Linked DNA regions of Schizosaccharomyces pombe. The gene in region 1 interacts genetically with each later gene. Each region holds a gene or a part of one and is shown on either strand. Other genes may lie near its edges.

Region 1 (3,157 bases):
CCAACGTTAACACTAACTCGTCATTCTCAGGTCCCATCTCGGAATTTTTAGTCGAATTGTTTTCTCCAAATGACGATGCAAAGCAGCAATGGTTACCGAAAAAAACTTATATATCGATATTGGAACAACTTTTTGGCGGAGCTTTGGAAAAGCGTATACGACTACAACTGTTTCAGTTGTTTACGCCTGAGAAGATTTATAGGAAGTTACGCGAGTTTAGACGAGGACTTGAAGGTAAATCTAATCATGATCACTCCAAAGACCGCCGTCATTCACGGGCGCGAAAGCCAGCTTATGCTGATAGGAATCAATTGAAAGCAGAAGCAGGGATTTTGCTTGCTTCCATGTTTCCCGGCTATACACCTGATATTGCTGTGAAAAGAATATTTCGTATTCTCCAAAACCAATCTCTAAACGCTCATGTTATATACACCCTTCTTGACGAGATTTTGCTGGCTTTAAAGAAACACGCTAGATCAACTAATAAGGCAACTTGAGTGTCACTTTTTTACCTCTCTTGTTAAATCATAGCAAGAGTAATCATGTTCATGCTTTTCTTTAATCATATAATGTAATTTCTTCATAGGATTTGATAATACTTTATTACAATTCATCCACTAGATAATTTCAAATCCTGTATTGTTACTGACTTTAAAAGAAGGGTTATACCATTTGAAGTACAAATTATGCGTAAAAATTAAAGCAAAAAGACTTTTTCATTTTAGCCAAAAACTATCAAATTACTATGATTTTTCTATCCCCTCTCCATTTTCTTGCATAAGCAAATGGTGGCTTCTAGTAGCGATGTCGGGTAGAGTAATCTTTTGGAGAAATAACAAGACCTTTACCTTTTCTAGCACCACGAAAAATAGTTTCTATAATATCGATCATCTCTTGTTTATCTTCTAACGGCCAGTTGATTTTGTTATTGTTACCAGTACCTAAGTCAATCATCATGTGTTTGTTTCGATAAAAAAACATTATTGTAGTTCTGTCATAAAGCTCGTACATCTAGATGGTAATAAGGTTAGCAACATGACTTTCCAACTAAGACTTAGACTTACCTTGTTGAAGTCAGGAACTTCGTCAATGTCCACTAAATATATGACAGCCATGTTGACGACCTTTTCAGCAATTCTGTATAGGACTTCATCTTGTTTTATACATTCTTCATCCTATTCCGTTACGCGTTAGTAAATTAATCCGCCTACAATATTAAATAGACTTAATCCAAGTAGATATCGACATTAGAACATACATGATCTCTACCAAATCGAATGACAACCAAGCGCTCTTGTTCTATTTATAAAAAAAAAGGTTAATAAGCTGATTCGAAGTTGTGAAACGAGAAACATTCTACGTTTCTTAAAGTTCGCGTACCTGATAAAATTGCTTGATCAACGTGCCTATAAACATAAGTTAGAGAAGAATAAATCCATCTATCACAAAAACTTACCATCCAGAATGTAAATGAGGTAAAAAATAACTCATTATATCAACTGAAGCTGCTGAATTGCAATATTTTGGTAATTTCTAGCAGACGAGAATAGTGTAGATATGTAAGTCACACAATATACACTTTGCGCGTTAGGATGTAGCAATGCTTTAACTCTACGTAAAAAAGCGTATAATAGTGTAAATGCTATTCAGTAAATAAATTTAGTGAAGTTATGAGATTCTTGACACAAGTGGGATTGCTATTACTTTCGTACATTACATGCTTAGTTGAATCGTTGATGTGTTTACTACAATTATATATATTCATACTTCATCTAATAAAACAATGAAATTCAGAATTTTTTACAATTCTAGAAACCGACCGTTTAAGCAGTTTACTGTGTTTAAAAATTAAAGTATCCGTAATATTCCAAATATTTTGTGAAATACTATTATAAAAAATTTAATTTAGAATCGTAGCTAGGCCGTATAAAATTATTTTTTCAAGTCCCAATCGCAACATAGACGAATGACCTTTGCGTTTTTCTCGACTCCATAGCATAAAATTACAATTGCAAATTCTTTAAGTGACTTGGGTGTTCGCGTTGTAAGCTAACTTTTCTTTTTCAGATTTGTTTGGAGAGTGCAGGATATGCTATAAATTTGTATTTAAGAAAATTTCTGAAAGGTTAAAGTCGCCAAAGGTTGAAAATTTTAAAATGATGTTGATTCATGATAATGGCTTCGGGGAAGATAAGTGTTCCACCCATGTCTTAAGTTTTAATAGTAAATGGCTTAGGATTACTTTATTCGTCTACAAATTGTTGCTTCCTCTTGCTCTGTGAAGACTTGATATGGCCCCCTCTATAATCCACGAACCATAATAGAAATGCAAATCGTTTATAATGGGGAGCTAGAAATCAAGCTGGCGTTTTAGGGATAAACCAAATATTGTCCAAAGCAAGTAATAGTCATCAGTGGTTTCATTTAAAATACATCAATAGTTGTTAAAATGCAGATAATTATGCTGACCTGTGAAATTTTTGGGGTATGAAGAATCATGTAATTAGAGTTTCTTATACACTAACAGAGCTCCAGCTCTCTCTCGACTTTCAGGAATCAAGGAGTTATAATACCTCTGTACTTCTTCATACTTCAACCCTCGGGAGTCAAGATAGCTGTATAAGCTATAAAACCGCTCTTCAAAGAAAATCAGATAATCCGGCCATTCTTTAATTTTATCTAGAAAAGTAGGCATATTCTCGTAAAAACGATCCGTCTCATCAAAGGGCTTTTCGAACGGTTCACATGTCAAGAACTTCCATCCATTTTCAGCAAAAGGTGAATGGATATGCGACTGCCATGGTGTAGTGTGACACGGAGCAAGTATTAGACCAGTTTGGTTTTTTTCAGCAAGTGAATGTATTAATGGCATAACTTCCATGACTCCAAATTGATGAAATCGGCATAAAAATGTAATTACCAGAGCATGTCCCAATCCAATAAGGAAGAAAAACCGTGCTGCACGCTTCCAAGAGGAAAATGATGAAAAAAATTTTCCAGCTAAAGTAAGTAAAATCGGTGAAATTGGGTATACAAACCGAAGTTCTTTATGTCCTATCAGTGAATAGGGAAAGAAAACACAAAGAATGGTTCCCGCTGTTTGAAGGTCCATTGTGAGTAATACGAATGGAAGAAATCCTCCGCATATTAATGGGAG
Region 2 (3,760 bases), on another chromosome or scaffold:
CCACGAATTTGTGAAATTCCAATCAGCATACCGATCTTCTCCTTTCCAAAGAGCGTTATGCTCAATAAAAGTAAACGGAGTAGTAGTGTTTGTGAAACCCTCGAAACCTATCAGATCGGCTAATGTAGCAACGGTGAGATCCACAATTACATACATGCCTTTACTATGCATTTCTTCGATTGTTCCTCTCCAGTCGTTAATCGTCCCTAAATGAGGATCAAGTAACGTGAAATCAAGAGGAGAATACTGATCAGCTCCCCAAGGCATATTAACAAAAGGTGTCCCAGCAAAGTAAACAGCTTTAACACCCATACCTTGCAAATAGTCTAAAGATTGACGCACACCAATTATATCTCCACCGTTTCTAAATTCTGTCTCATAAATGTCGTATTCAAATCTTGTTCCACTAAAATCATTATTGGTTGGATCTCCATCGACCCATTTGTCAATAGCAATAGTATAAATGGGAAATCTCCAATGTTCTGGGCTAGGAAAAAATTCATGATTCTCCCATTCACCCCAATAATCCGATGGATCAAGAGCAGAAACGTTAGTGTTCAAATTCCAATCAGTAAGGAGATTATTGAAAGGAGCGCACCAAGCATGTTTGTCAAGTATAACAATATACAAAAAGAAAGAAACAACAAGAGGGTACGCCATATCCCTAAGTGTAAAAATCTAGTTAAATAGTTGAAAAAGTAAAAAGATTTTAACAAATTTGATAGGAGCACAAAAGATAGAAGGTAAAGTCTTCAGACTTAAACTAGTGATTAAAGGGAAAAAACGATCACTCTAGTATTTAAAATGAAGTTTCTTTTATAGAATTTTAATAGATAATCTTTGAAAAAGAAAAAAAATACTGGTTCTTCAGTTATTTATCTTATACTGATTTCAGTATGTCCATGTGTTGCGCAAAACAAAATGTTGAATATGAATATAATCAAACTATATTGTTTGTTTACTAAAACAACAGTAGTGATGTGTGCGCAATTTAAAGTAGCAAATAGCTAATTGTTTGATAACAATCGTTGTTGACTATGCGCAAATAAAAAGTAAACACGTATTTGTTTACATGCATTCACACAAACTCCTCTGAAATTTAAGAAGCAAAATTGTTACAAACAACACCATAATTCAATCAGAAACCAAAAGGTAAAAAAATTGATTAATAATGAATTACCGTAGAAATATATGTCTCAGAATTGGTTGGATGCTGCTTTTTGCATTTATTCCAGCATATGCAGGACATTCTGCTGAAGAGTGGAAACGCAGATCAATTTATCAAATAATCACCGACAGATTTTCTTTAGAAGAAGGTGCAACAGAGAGAATTCCATGCGATCCCGTTCGATTTATGTACTGCGGGGGAACTTGGAATGGAATTCGAAATCATCTAGATTACATCCAAGGCATGGGATTTGACGCAGTATGTATTTTTACCCAAATACTTGATTAACATAATGATAGATATGGATCTCACCAATCTTTGAAAATGTTGAAGGAAATGATATTGACGGTTCGTCCTATCACGGATATTGGACAACCAACCTCTATGAGCTTAATCACCACTTTGGAACAAAGGAAGAATTTATGGAGCTAATACAAGAATTGCATAAACGCGACATATGGATTTTACTAGACGTGGCTATCAATTCTATGGCGATAAACGGACCGCTGGAACAAATGAGCTTTGAAAAAGTTATACCCTTCAATGATGCTTCTTTCTTTCATCCTCACTGCTGGGTTGATTATGAAAGCAACGACATTGAAAGTGTTCAAAATGTATGCCAAATTATACAGACTAAACGATTTTTCCTACAACCTAGACTTAGCCTGTACAGGTCGTTAAGTCTCGTTATATTGTTTTTTAGAACGACAGTGAACTAACTATATGATATAGTGCTGGCTTGGTGATGAGAATTTACTGTTGGCTGATGTTGATACAGAAAACGAAGTAGTTTTGAGCGTTTTAGAGAAATGGATAAAAAACGTTGTGCAAGAATATGATATCGATGGTATCAGGTTTGATGCAATTAAGCATGCGCCGATAGAATTCTGGTTACGAATGTCGAAAGCAGCGGATATATTTACAATCGGCGAATATTTCACTGGTTCGCCAGCAGAAGCCTGTGATTACCAAAATTCTGGTTTAGACTCTTTCCTCAATTTCCCTCTTTACTGGCCAATTACTTGGGCATTCAACAACACTGGTCTTCAATGCGAGGCTTTAGCAATCGCAATTAACCAAATAAACGAAGAGTGCAATGATATCAATGTGTTGGGAACGTTTATTGGAAATCATGACTTACCAAGAATAAGCCACAATAACACCGACCAAGCAAGAATTATGAATGCAATTACATTTGTGATGATGTGGGACGGTATACCCATTATTTACTATGGTACCGAACAAAATTTCAACAGTTACCATGATCCGTTTAATAGAGAAGCTCTTTGGCTATCAAATTTTGATATGGAGAATGTATACTATAAGCTTATTGGTATCCTAAATCGGTTCAGGAAGTCCGTTCAACGTCAGGAAGAGAATTATGTGAACACTAGATCTACTATCCTAAGCGTCAAAATTCACCACATAGTTGTTCAAAAGTTGAATGTTATTACCGTTTTGAACAACTATGGAATTCATAACGAAGAGCGTCTATCAATCGTTTTCAAACCGCTTGGCGCATCTCCTAAGGACACGTTTTTTGATATCATTAACAACCAAAAATATGTTGTGAACACTGACGGCACGCTTAAAGTTGTCATCACTAACGGATTTCCCATTGTAAGTTATTTCATTGTCTAAAAGACTACTAACGTTCATTAAAGGTTTTATATCCTACCAGCAAAATCGAAACTTCATTACCCCAGTTTACAGCGACTCTTCTTCCAGAAATAACATTTGTTCCAAGTATTACAGTTACTACTCATTATGTTTTGCCTACCTTGTTAGCTCCATTGGGATACGATATACGTGAACATCCTGGAGGTCAACAATTTTGGAATACGTTAACTGCTAAATCAGAGGCTAAAACCATTCGATCCTTCACCAAATTGAAATTATTCATTCTGCTAATTGCTGTTCCATTTGCTTTACCCATGATTATTCTCATTTAATACTGTTCAAGTTTTTTATCATTCTCCCCACCTCTTTAAAAAACCTTTCATCAAGCGCCTAATTAAACGAGCGCTTTATTTTATCTGGTTTATACTATTGTTTATTTTGCTCTCATAAAATAAACTAGATGTTATATAATATAGTGTTTATACAATTCGTAATACCAATCTTGCGTTACTCTGTTAAGCTCCTTATAGCAATCCAGTGAACATCGCAAATTAATACCTCAACAGCCCTCATTGAGTGTGGTATATACTCCGTTTCCAAATCCCTTGAATTACATGCATGAAAAGGGGTTTAGATTCTTTAATTAAAGCAGACACTCATGAGTTTATATGATAGTCTTCTTTCAAATTTGCAGTCAATTAATGTGGACACTAGGAAAAAGAATGCAGACTTGAAGAAGGTAAATGTGAGCGTATCAACTTTTTAGTCTAACAACTTTAGCTTGCAGATGGTTCTTTAAAGTTTTTGTACACAAACAAGAATTTGTCTCAAGATTCTTTAGTTTCCAGTAAGTTCTGCTATTTATTTACAATAAGAGCTACATACTAATCATTTCACAGAATTGAAAGGAAATGAGGCTTTTTATAAGCCATTTTTATTTTGCTGTGCAAAAAAAATTGAACGACACATTTA
Region 3 (3,760 bases), on another chromosome or scaffold:
TTGTTGACACAAGTCTTCGTGTACTTGATTTATTTAGTTTTACGGGATAACGAGTCAAAAATAATACTTCACTAATATTGGTCAAGAGATTAGCAGCTTATATTTAATATAATGCTTAGACTATACTTTCGTTTGGATTGTATACATAATTCAATGTATCTGAAAATATGTTGGATTGAATTAATGCGTCGTTTATAGACTATATTGCCGATATTTAGGGACGAAGTAAAACTCATTACTAGAAAAAGTCAAACTGTAAAATATAAACAAACATCAATTTTAATTTCTTTTAAATAAGATAAATCTCAGCTTCCACTTTTTTTACTGTACACGTTAAAAAAAAAATCAACCATACGGATCAATCTCAGCTATTTTACTATGCCGGCGTTTGAGCAACAATGGTAGTTATTTTGCTTCTTTTTAAAATATTTTACCTCCTTTGTTGTTGACTGTATCCATTTTGTGCATTGATTGTTTGATAAAATGGTATGTTTGGCATTACAGGAGCACCAGGTATGGTAGCAGCAGCAGGAGAAGGAGAAGCCATCACCATTCCTGGTGGTGGAGGGGGGACAAGTGGTGCACCTCCAGGGCCCATTGGAACATTCATCATTGGCATAGCAGGCATTCCAGGGAAATGCTGTGCAGCAGTGAAAGGAAGAACATTAGGTATTGACAAGGGAGGGACGGCAGTAGTTGCTCCCACTAGAGGAACATTCGGTACAGGAGGTATCGATGTAGCAGCAATTGTTGCTGGAGTATTAGCAGCAGATGTTGGAGCAGGAGTGGCGGGTGAAAATCCTGGAGGCAGAGTACTCTGAGGAGTAACGGCAACTTTATTCTTTTTAGCGGCTGCTGCTAGCTTTCTTTCCGCAATATCTCCGTGACGTTCACCCTTTCCTTCGCGTTTAAAGGCGTATGACACGGTAATTGGTTTATTCATTAAAAACTGATTATTCATGGCCTCAATGGCTGCATCAGCGGTTTCAAAAGAATCGTAGCTAACAAAACCATAACCTTTCGACCTTCCATTCTCGTCTCTTGCTACCTGAGGTGCCTTGACAAGTTGTCCCAAAGCAGAAAATGTATCGTACAATACGCGTTCATCAACAAGAGGATCCAAGTTGCCAACAAATAAATTTGCACCAATTAAGGTATTGACTCCTCTGTCCTGGCTAGCTCTATTGACCCTTATAGGCTTTCCAAACAACTTTACTTGATTCAGAATTTGACATGCATACTCAACATCTTGTTCGTGTAAGAATTCGCAGAAACCAAAGCCATTATGACTATTCCTTACTCTATCTCTTGGAATATGAATATTTACTGTATGAATTAGTATCGAAAGCCACAAATACAACCAACACTCGAATAATTACATACCAACTGGACCTGCCTGCAGGCATAACTCAAACAAAATAGAATCCGTTACTTTTTCATCAAGATTGCCAAGATATATAGTTGCATCCTGATTCCTGTCTTCTCGAATACTCATTAATAAATAAGTAAAAATAAGTTAAAGTGTCTATTATAGAAATTTATTAGAATAAATAGATAGACACGTTTGAAGACGCTGGTAGAAGATTCAAGAAATTGGTGCATAGTCTCGTTATTGACTTAATGACGAGCACCAAATAGCACAATAGAAAACTAAATTACAGTATTCATCGTTAAAATTTCAGTGTCCAGCGTTTTCCAAACACATTTATGGAGATTTTTAATACTAAATCTTCGTTTTTTTTTTATTATTTTATAATTTTACTCATGAGATTGAATTATATTCAAGTTGAAGGTACAGTTGTGAATGGTAGACTGACGAAATATTTTTTATAGCAACCTATCTCTTTATACAGCCCTAATTTCCTTACATCCATCGTACACTAGTACATTTAATAGGTTCATTTATTAACTTTTTGTAAAAACGATGTTTGGCCATGTATATTTATTTTTGCTGCTGTAGTTTTGAACACAACTGAGGGCTTATTTATGTTACCCTAGATGGGCTTTTTACTCCCATGTGGTCTTTGTAACCTTCTTATGATCTTCACCCTTCAGGTGATACCACGACTTCAGTTGAATTTTATAGCTTTTCGAGTGTGTTTTTAATCAAAATATTTCTGTGATGTTGGTGTTTTGAAAAAGCGTACTTGTGTAGTCCTAGATGCCCCTTTTTTCTTTCACTTAAGTCTATTATTGTTTATGTTTAATTTTCTACTTGCAAACTTTTCGAAAGGACTGTTCGTAGCCTTTACGTTTATTGCTTATTTATTTTTTCTGATTTAAGCTCGTGAGCTTTTTCTAACAGACGTACGATCAGACAATTGGCACGTCTGCTTTTCTTTTCTTTTCTTTTTTAAGACCTGTCTACTCAACGCAGGATTTCTTCGATTATCTAGGTTTTTAAACGGTTTAAAAGGACACAGAATATTTTATTACTTCATTTTAGTATTTTATTTTCGACATGATTGCTGCTGTCGAAAAAGATGCTGTGCCTCGAAAAAGGCGAGTAATCAGTCAAGTATCTCAGGCATGCATTCGGTGTAGGCAGAAAAAAATAAAGTGTTCTGGTGAAAAGCCATCATGTCAAGCTTGCAGTAACAACAAAGTTGAATGCATTTGGCCTGATCGACCGAATATGCGAGGCAAAAAGCCATCTTCCGCTGCCAGAACCTTGAGTCCTCTTACTGGTATAGTGCAACCGTATCTGGGCTCTCATCCTTTTTCTCCTACGATCCTCTCTCCATCATCTCCTAACATGGATTTTACTTACTCTATTAATAGCTTTGGTGACTATCAGAAGCAGTTAAGGCTACCAACCAGTAGAAAGTTATTACAGCTTTGGGACATATTTCTTAAAACTTCATATACCGAACTTTTTGGGATATTTAATAAGGCCCAAATTACGTCTCAAATTGCAAGTGATACTGCTCCGCCAGTCCTCGTACTTTGTATATGTGCTCACGCTGCTCGTTTCAGTCAAGAGGAAGTCAATAGATTTAAATCTTCAACTGCAGCATCTGATTACTACGCAAACCAAGCCTTTTCACTGCTTCCTTGTCGTTTCCAGGATATTTCACTGACTAATATCACTTGCCTGCTCTTGCTTTGCTTAATTGAGTTGGGCTCTTGTAGAGGCGCTAAAGCCTGGCTTTTACTGGGTATGGCTCTCCGTATGGTCGATTCTTTAGATCTTGGTAACGAAATAAATGATAATCCTCTTACGATGGGATCCAACACTGTTTCATGGACTGAAGCCGAGCAGAAAAGAAGGGTTTATTGGGCTTGTTTTTTTGTCGAACGTTTGCTAAGTACAGGTTACATGGCACCTTCAAAATTGCGCTCACTTTCTTTATCTCTTCAAAAGACTAGTATACAATTACCTTGTCCGGAACCTAATTTTTTATTTAATCAGCCAATTCTTACTGAGTTATTTGATGGATCTTTACCGGAAAACACTCAGTCAGACACCACTTCAATGGCCCCATACCAAAGAAGTTTACAACTGGAGTTTATGACGGGTTCCCTAATCCGCTTGTCAAATTTGTGGAGTGAGATCTCAAGATGGGCTCTATGTGGTGGATACACGAAAGATATCACACCCCCTTGGCTAAATCAGTCTCAATTCCATCGTAGCTTTGAGCTTTTAAAAGCCTGGCATGAAAATTTACCTCCAAGAGCAGTTTGGTCATACACTAACTATTCGGCGTATAGTTCTCCCGGAGAATCGGCTGGTGCCTGTTACACTTTTATGCATTTGCTA

The links.
Region 2: mutations in dim1 (region 1) and mok11 together harm fitness more than expected from each alone (negative genetic interaction), as found in Schizosaccharomyces pombe (one large-scale study listed by BioGRID).
Region 3: mutations in dim1 (region 1) and mca1 together harm fitness more than expected from each alone (negative genetic interaction), as found in Schizosaccharomyces pombe (one large-scale study listed by BioGRID).

Annotation. Positions count from the first base shown.
Region 1 is NC_003421.2:877,144-880,300, forward strand, and holds dim1 (U4/U6 x U5 tri-snRNP complex subunit Dim1), read right to left. Parts: upstream 1,529-3,157; 5' UTR 1,492-1,528; coding exon 1,457-1,491; intron 1,446-1,456; exon of another isoform or gene 1,407-1,445; coding exon 1,381-1,406; exon of another isoform or gene 1,300-1,380; coding exon 1,259-1,299; exon of another isoform or gene 1,176-1,258; coding exon 1,065-1,175; exon of another isoform or gene 1,012-1,064; coding exon 796-1,011; 3' UTR 661-795; downstream 1-660. Other genes in the region: sorting nexin Snx12, read left to right, coding at 1-497; gpi10 (pig-B family GPI synthesis protein), read right to left, coding at 2,504-3,157. UniProt on the Schizosaccharomyces pombe protein: Plays a fundamental role as a protein essential for entry into mitosis (G2/M progression) as well as for chromosome segregation during mitosis. May play a role in mitotic spindle formation and/or function.
Region 2 is NC_003424.3:4,372,399-4,376,158, reverse strand, and holds the start of mok11 (cell wall alpha-1,3-glucan synthase Mok11), read right to left. Parts: upstream 1,797-3,760; 5' UTR 1,783-1,796; coding exon of another isoform or gene 1,468-1,782; 5' UTR 1,427-1,467; coding exon of another isoform or gene 1,172-1,426; 5' UTR 661-1,171; coding exon 1-660. Other genes in the region: aah2 (alpha-amylase 2), read left to right, coding at 1,172-1,426, 1,468-1,782, 1,901-2,788, 2,833-3,120; SPOM_SPAC23D3.13C (guanyl-nucleotide exchange factor), read left to right, coding at 3,447-3,527, 3,569-3,635, 3,688-3,760.
Region 3 is NC_003424.3:2,987,131-2,990,890, reverse strand, and holds the start of mca1 (transcription factor), read left to right. Parts: upstream 1-2,037; 5' UTR 2,038-2,461; coding exon 2,462-3,760. Other genes in the region: U2 snRNP-associated RNA-binding protein Sap49, read right to left, coding at 431-1,326, 1,384-1,495.